2 linked regions of the Sus scrofa genome follow. The protein of the gene in region 2 interacts with the protein of the main gene of each other region in a pairwise test. Links are inferred from orthologs where the notes say so. Each region holds a gene or a part of one and is shown on either strand. Other genes may lie near its edges. The genes, in order: CBY1 and FAM92A.

Evidence for each region.
Region 1: the proteins of FAM92A (region 2) and CBY1 interact in binary tests that used the Homo sapiens proteins (3 or more experiments, as listed by UniProt). The two-hybrid records come from large-scale screens. The link is inferred for Sus scrofa from reciprocal best matches to the Homo sapiens genes CIBAR1 and CBY1.

The regions. Positions count from the first base shown.
Region 1 is NC_010447.5:9,348,264-9,352,791, forward strand, and holds the start of CBY1 (protein chibby homolog 1), read right to left. Parts: upstream 3,065-4,528; 5' UTR 3,048-3,064; coding exon 2,970-3,047; intron 1,944-2,969; coding exon 1,838-1,943; intron 1,753-1,837; coding exon 1,634-1,752; intron 91-1,633; coding exon 10-90; 3' UTR 1-9. UniProt on the Homo sapiens protein: Inhibits the Wnt/Wingless pathway by binding to CTNNB1/beta-catenin and inhibiting beta-catenin-mediated transcriptional activation through competition with TCF/LEF transcription factors.
Region 2 is NC_010446.5:42,975,386-42,979,203, reverse strand, and holds part of FAM92A (protein FAM92A1), read left to right. Parts: intron 1-1,702; coding exon 1,703-1,708; intron 1,709-2,873; coding exon 2,874-2,978; intron 2,979-3,818. UniProt on the Homo sapiens protein: Plays a critical role in regulating mitochondrial ultrastructure and function by maintaining the integrity of mitochondrial morphology, particularly the organization of cristae.

The sequences.
Region 1 (4,528 bases), on a different chromosome or scaffold from region 2:
GTGGGGTCTTCATTTTCTCCGCTGACTGACACCCTTCAGTTCATCCAGCTCCTTCTCCATTAAGTGGGATTCGGCAGTGGTCTCGGAGAGCTGGAGGGAAAGCAGCAGACCGTTAGGAAGGATGTTTCTGGGCTACGTTTCGGGGTGGCAAGGCCAGCACTGCCCGCTGGGAAAGGGAGGCCCCCTGGCAGTTCTCTAATGCTGCCAGCAGCCTCCACGACGGGAACCCTTTTGTAACTGGGCAGAGAGGAAACCTCCTGAACCACCCAGGACCTCAAGCACTTGAAGAACATTCACCATCCATTTGATCAACACTTTGTGGCACTAAGATTGTGTGGCACTCACTGTGTTAAGGACACGAGGTTTCAGGGGATGAAAAAGGCAGATATTGGTGATTTTTAAAGGACTAGGGTCTGAGTTGCTTGAGTCATGGGTCAAATAACGGTGATTGGGGGAAAAATGCTTGAAAAAGAATGCTACTTTCCTCATCAGGATCTTTCAGTGAATTTTTTTTTTTTTTTTTTTAAGGGCACCAGGACCTGGAAGTTCCCAGGCTAGGGGTTGAATCAGAGCTGCAGTTGCCGGCCTACAGCACAGCTACAGCAACACAGGATCCGATCTGTACCTGCAAACTACACTGCAGCTTGCAGCAACACCAGATCTTTAGCCCACTGAGCAAGGCCAGGGATCAAACCCGCATCCTCAAGGACACTACTCAGGTTCTTAACCAGCTGAGCCACAATGGGAACTCCCTTTCAGTGGATTTTAGAGCAGAGGGTAGAAGACACGCCAGATAGGGACAGAGAGATATAACTTCTAGAGGTCAGTTTCCTGTGAGAGAGTTCTACTTTCTGAGCATGACACTCTTCGTGTCATGAACAGCGACATGAAGGGCTGTACTTGCATTAACTCACTACTGAGGTAGCGCCTCCTATCATGCCCATTTTATTCCTGAAGATGTTTCTTCACACAGAGCAGTTGAGCAACGTGCCTGAAGTCACACAGCCAAGGGTAGAGCTGGGCAAGGGAATGCAGGCAGTTGAGCGCCAGACCACTACCTCGTGGGCTCCCTGCCTCTCAGCCAACCTTCACATACACCTCTAGGCTCAACGGGGTGCTGGGTTTTTAAAATCCACACGAAACGAAACTGATGGCGGCACAGAGAGGGTCCCTTGGCAGGCCTGCTCGGGGCGCTGACTAATGGCTGCTTGGTGCGAGACCTCTTCAAGCCAGGAGCAGAATGTCTTTCCTGAATGCCTTCATCCCAGCCTCCATCGCTACCTTTATCTTTCCACATTCAGCTCAAATATCCCTTCCCTGTGATGTCCTCCTGCCTGCACAGAATAAATCTCTCTCTCTCTCTCTCTCTCTCTCTCTCGTGTGTGTGCTGACGTGGGGCCATGAACAGACTCTAAGCATGGCCCCTCATCACGAGGCCCTGTCAATCTGTTCGCTATCTCTCAGGTACATGATGAGCCCTTGAGGGTAGGGACTTCGATGTGGTTTTGTATCTCTGGATTCACAGCGATGTACCTGGGCAAACTGGCACTCAAGAGGTATGAGCTGCCTGAAAGGACTCGCAAGGATCCTGCGCAAGGAAAGCCGAGGCGGCCCTTCCCATCACCTTCCTCACCATGTCTAGCAGGATGTCCACCTTGAGCCGTAAGAGATTGTTCTCTTCCTCCAACTGCTGGTTCCGCCTCCGGAGGCGCTGAGCCTCCCTCCGGTCCACGCCTCCACTAATCCCCGACTCTGGTGGAAGGAGAGAACCAGCAGTTACAAGGTGGGGTTTCTTTCCACGATCTTGTGGGACAAAGTGGCAGGAAATGCAGCCCACCTGCTATCCACTGGCCATTTTCAAACTTCAGGCTTTGCCCCGCCAGGTTCATAGTGGGGGTTCCGTAGTCAAGGCCCAGCTCCACCTCCCGGGTTGAACGATCCAACTGTGGGTGAGACGCTCATGCTGGAGGCTACAGCACATGGGCTCTAGGCCCCGTGCCTCCTCTACTCGCTGCATGACCCCAACAACTCATTTCTTTTCTCTAATCATTACTCAGCACATTTCATAATTTTTTTTTTAAGTCAGAAAATCAAATAAGGTACAAAAATGTCTTTAAGCCAGAAGAGAAGAAATGTACACTTTATGCAATAGATGCTTTCTGGAAAAGCTATACATGCTGAAAGTTGCAAACTGAATTGTATCTACAGAGCATTTAATGGATTAAGAAGTCCTATTGCAAATTTATAATAAAGTGGAAAAGCCCTTTTAAATGTAAGACGCTCTCATTTGCTTACCATGGAGCTACACATGTCGTGGAAAAGACATAAAACGCTAAGGCCCAACGAGCAGCAGCAGCTGCTCTTGAATGTGATTTCCAATGTTTCTACAGGTCACTGAGCACCCACGCTGCACCAGACTGGCACTGAACATTCAGAGATGAATGTAACTCCTCTGCCCTTGAGGGGCTCGGAAACTGCCTTTGGAGCTGTGGCATATCCTTTTGAATGCTAGCAATGTTGGCAAAACATCATCCTTTGAGAAGCAAGTTGACTCTTAGACATGACTAAAACTGATTCCAGGCCAAGTCTTGGGAATAGAGCCAAGTCAAACTTGATAATCTCATTTGGACCCAAAAAATCATAATGAAATCGACTATCTTTTAATGTTCTTGAACAAGCTCTGACAATAATTCCCAAATAAGAGTTTAAGAATAGCAATAACAGGGAGTTCCCTGGTGGTGCAGCGGGTTAAGGATCTGGCATTGTCACTGCTGTGGTGTGGGTTCTATCCCTGGCCTGGGAATTTCCACATGCCGTGGGAGCTGCCAGTAAATAAATACATAAATAAAAATAGCAATAACATGATTTAAAAGGACACCTTCCCACGAGGATGCCTCCCGAGGACCACACTTTCCGTAAGAGACCAGGCTCGATGCTCCAGGCACACTGCACGCCAGGCTGACACTCACATTATGCAGGTTGGAGAGCGAGGCGGACTTCCGAGGGGGCGTCTTCTTCGGACTGAACGTACTCCCAAAGAGAGGCATCTTTGGCTTGATGAAGGAAAGGTCAATGCTCCCTCCTCCTAGGGTCAGGAAAAAAGTCAAGGATACAAAGAGTTGGTCATGACCTTGTGTCCCTGTCTTCAAATCATGAATACACACATCTTATCACACGGCCGTTAATAATCCTGGTGCTCGCTCCCACGTGCTGAGTGCTCACTACGTGCTGGGCAGCCCGCCAAGACCTTCCCAATGGCTCGGCCCTCACAACCAGCTGTTGTTCAGCTCCTCTTTTTATGCCTATTTGACAAGTGAAGTTTAGACAAGACTAAAGTCCTAAATGGGAGCCAGTATTTGTTTTGTTTTGATTTTGCTTTTTAGGGCCACCCTTGTGGCATATGGAGGCTCCCAGAGTCAGGGTTGAACTAGAGCTGTATCCACCAGCCTACACCACAGCTCACGGCAACGCCGGATCCTTAACCCACTGAGTGAGGCCAGGGATTGAACCTGCGTCCTCATGGATACCAGTCAGATTTGCTTCCACTGAGCCATGACGGGAATTCCAGGAGCCAGTATTCGAACACAGGTCTGTGTGGCTCTACGGGTTACGTTAACCACAGACACCTGCCTACCTGGCTTAAGTTTTGTCACAAACTGGCCTTGCCAGGCTTATAGTCTGGAGCGAGGCATGCAATCCTACTCCTTCCTGGACACTGGTAAGAATCACACCTGGGGCAACAGCTTCACCATATACTCCATCTTAAAGAAATGAAGCCATAGTTATACTTTGCTTTCAGACTGATAACAGTGCCCCTCACTCAGTCCACATGTGAGAAGACTACCTGTCCTGAATGGGAGGTAAGGTGAGTGGTGGGAGGAGGAGACCCGCAACATGGCAGGGCTGACAACGGCAGCCAGACAGCTGCCTTCAGCATATCGCAACCTGGTGCAATTCACACAGGCCCAATTAAGTTGATTTACTGACACTGCCCATGGGCGGAGAAGCAAACTTTTTTGTATGTTTAAGTAGAACACAAATATATAATGTATAAAAAAAGAATACAAATAATATCTCTGGCTTCATGAGTTTTCATTAGATGTGCACACACACACCCCTGTTGCCACCTTCCAGATCAGGATATAGAACATTTCATCACCCTACAAGCCTAGCCCGACAGCTTTAAATCCATGGACTTAAAAACAAGCAAACAAACTGGAGTTCCTGCCGTGGCTCAGCAGAAACAAATCTGACTAGTATCTATGAGGATGCATGTTCAATCCCTGGCCTCACTCAGTGGGTCAGGGATCCAGCATTGCCATGAGCTGTGGTGTCGGTCGCAGATGTGGCTCAGATCTGGTGTTGCTGTGGCTGTGGTGTAGACCAGAGGCTACACCTCTGATTTGACCCCTTGCCTTAGGAACTTCCATATGCTGCAGGTGTGGCCCTAAAAAGAGAAAACAAACAATCAAAAAGGAGTTCCTGTTGTTGCTCAGCTGTAACGACTAGTATCCAAGAAGATACAGGC
Region 2 (3,818 bases):
ATACGGAAATGAATCTATTCCTAAGACAAAGATGTTTCTGATTTAAATGCTCTGCTCTAAGTACTGCTATGGAGGAGGTAGTTTTCTACCGTAGATGAAGCAGGTCTGTGGGTTCACATGGGAGAAAATAAATGCAACAACTGAATAGATTACTGCTATAGATGAATTGCCATTCTCACTGGGAAAGATTTATAACTCTAGTGGATTTTGACAACCTGAGACCAGAAAATAAAAGACAGTCTATATATAAATGCATTCAATGTATACATAAAAATACTCAGTCATAGCAATGTACAATATTTGCCAGCACAGGCCCTTAAAATTCATCTGACTATTCAAAAAAAGCTCATTAAAGGTCAATATGTAAAATAAAACAGGAGTTCCCATCGTGGCTCAGGGGAAACGAATCTAACTAGTATCCATGAGGACAAAGGTTTGATCCCTGGCTTCGCTCAGTGGGTTAAGGATTTGGCATTGCTGTGAGCTGTGGCAGGGGTTACAGACGAGTCTCAGACCCCACATTGCTGTGGCTCTGGCATAGGCCAGCAGCTGTAGCAGCCTGGGAACTTCTATATGCCGTAGGTGCAGCCCTAAAAAAGCAAGAAAAAAGGAAAAAAGAAAAACACACCAATCTGGCTCACTCTTTTATAAGCCATTTTGCACTTGTAACTAATTTTCATTAGGGTAAAGTCCTTATTAGGACTTTATTCACAAAAATGTACCATAATATTTTAATCAAAAGTATTTCCTACCCAAATTGGTATATTAAGAGGATTTTAAAGAATTTTCAACAAAAGGAAGAAATAGAAATCTCTATCCACTTTTCTAAAAATAGCTTGTAACTTTGGGTGAGTTGCTATGCAGGAGTGAAAGGATTTGAGACTTTAAGAAATGAATAGTAGTTGCTAGACAGTGACAGAAAATTAAGATACACTGTTCCAGCTGTGGTTTCTGCTTCCCTGCTCTTCCCTAGTTTAGCCAACTCTACTTACTGTTCCAGATTTTAAAATCAAACTGTCAGGAAATTGGCAGGGAAAAGATATGTCAAAACTAAGTAGTCACAGTGAAGAATTTCATGAGTCATATGTAATGAACAGTATTAGAAAAATAGTCTGCTTGAATATTCTCGTTAGTAAAACGTTAACATGCATAATACCTGTTAGTAATTTTTTCATATTAATCTTGAGAGAAGCTCTGTTTTACTTTAGAATTTTCTGTGATAAAGTTGTATTTTTAAAAATCCAAAGCCCAGTATATAGAGAATTGTTTTTATTACAGGTTATGATTAAAAGTTAAAAGTTTGCATAGTTTTAAGAAAACTTTACCCCCTATATAGCAAATGTACACACATAGAGGTATATATAAATATGTTTAAATGCTTAGTTTAGAGTTCTCTGGTGGCTCAGTGGGTTAGGGATCTGGCATTGTCACTGCTAGGGCTCTTGTTATAGCTGTTGCATGGGTTCAATCCCTGGCCTTGGAACTTCTGCATGCCACGGGCATAGCCCCAAACAAATAAATGCTTAGTTTCTTGAAATTGTGTATCTGAATTAACCTAGTTTTAAGAGTATATATACAGTATGAAGTTATGGTTAATATATAACCTATATACAAGATTATATAATTCTATGAGCATATGATTTTAATTTATTGGAAAATTGTTCTCTTTGAAATGTATTTTTTCCTTTATGAAAAACTTCAGTCACAGGTGTGTAATAAAGTGATGTGTCAAGAGATGGATCCCTATAGTAAACTCTTTTACTTATTTCAATTTATACATTTTCTTGAAAAAGAGCTTAAATGTCATTATGTGTGACAAAACTTACTGCAACTGCAAATTTTTTCCTGTTCGTTAGCTATTAAAATGATGACATGATACTTTTGAGTAAACACAATACTAGCATAGGAAATAAAACTTTATTGTAAAGAACTGAATCAGAAAATTGGGCCATGTTTTAAAATGTATATTATTGTTTAACAAAAATCTTGAAATGTTTTTGGGCAACTATTATCCTTAAGGAAGAGATGATTTTTTTAAAAAATACATGATTATATTGGAAATATTCTACCCTTTATAGTAGCGTGGCCACTAGCCATATATATGTCGGTTGAGCTCTTGAGATGCAACTAGAGTAGCCAGTTTTTAATTTTTCATTTAATTATAATTAATTTAAATGCAGATTGCTACATGTGGCTGGTGGCCACCATATTGATTATATGACACAGATCTGGATAATATGAGTACTTTGAAGCAAAGCATTATAATTGCCATCGAATTTATTAGTTACTGGTGCGCATATATATTTTGTAGTAAGTACTAACTAAATAGTAATAGTGTAGCAGTAGCTTATAAAAAGAATATACAAATAGAAACCCTATGCTGAAATAAATATTTGTAGTGTATATTCTACTCTACCTGCTCTAGAAAATTGAAAATACTTAAGTTACAGGTCTTTTCGTTTGAGGGGAGGAAAGGTTAAAGGGAAGAGAGATAGTATAAAAAGGAGAGTATGATAAACGGCAGTGACAGTAAAATAGGTGAAAGCACTGGAAAATGTAGAAAATTGTTTTACAGTAAATCATCCAAGGGTGATATGGGGGGAAATGATTTTATGTAAATAAAAGGGAAGACTTTTGTTTCTTTTTGTTTGAGATCATGAATCTAATGGATTTAAAGTTCTTTATTCTGCATGTGGTTGCTTATTCTGACATTTTATTTTACGTAGTAAAATACATTCTTTAATGATGTACACTGTTGTGGCAAAAAGCCAATGCTGCAGTGGTAGCATTTACAAAAACAGAGTGAAATGATTTGTGACTTTCTGATTTTTTTTTTTTTTTTAAATATCTTTGGTTGGGGAATACTTTTGTAGGCAGAAACTGAATTACAGAGAGCTACCATGGATGCTACCCGAACAACTCGCCATCTGGAGGAAACTATTGACAGTTTTGAAAAGCAGAAAATAAAGGATATAAAGGTAACAAATTAACAATTAAAGTTCAAAATATGTTTTCTAATCTTATTTAAATATGTGATAGATTTAAATTATTGGTTGTTTTTAGCCCATAAACAGTCTGTGTGAAAAAGATGTAAATAAAAATATATAAAATGATATTTTTAAGGAAACAATGGCATATAAAGGGGCCACATTCCCAGTCAGAAGCCAGATATTCACGTTATCAAAAATACTATTTAATCAAAGGAAACTAACATTTATTATGTTTTTATGTATCAGGCCTTATTCCAGGCACTTTACACAAATTATCTTTTCATCTCTACAGCAACTCCATCAGAGTGAGGTGGTATAATCCATATATTATGTCTTAAAAAATTAAGCAGAGATATGAAGTAACTTTCCTGAATCATAGCCAAAAATCCCAAAAATCTGAACTATAAACCACTTATGTAATTTTTACATCTGTGCTTTCCATTATAATACACTAACATTAATTTTTATAACTTAAAGCTCTCAAATACATATTATCAAATAGGATAAGAGTAGCTAACCACACACACCTGCATCTGTGATTATATGATGTCACAAGCAGCATTGCCTTATTTTAGTGTATCACATCAGTAGACCTTCAGGATCATGGACTTGAGACGGTCTTTTCAGGATCATGGACTTTTTAATTGGCATCTTGGAAAGATTTAGAGAATTACTTATGCCCATGCTATATCCTTCCAAATAAGTCATCCAAGGATGACTGCAAATTTTCCTGGAACAGCCTTTCTTTTGTCATTTTACAACTATTAGCAAAGAAAACTTTCACTTAAATAAATTATTCCTCTCTACAATCCATGGAACAACATTCAT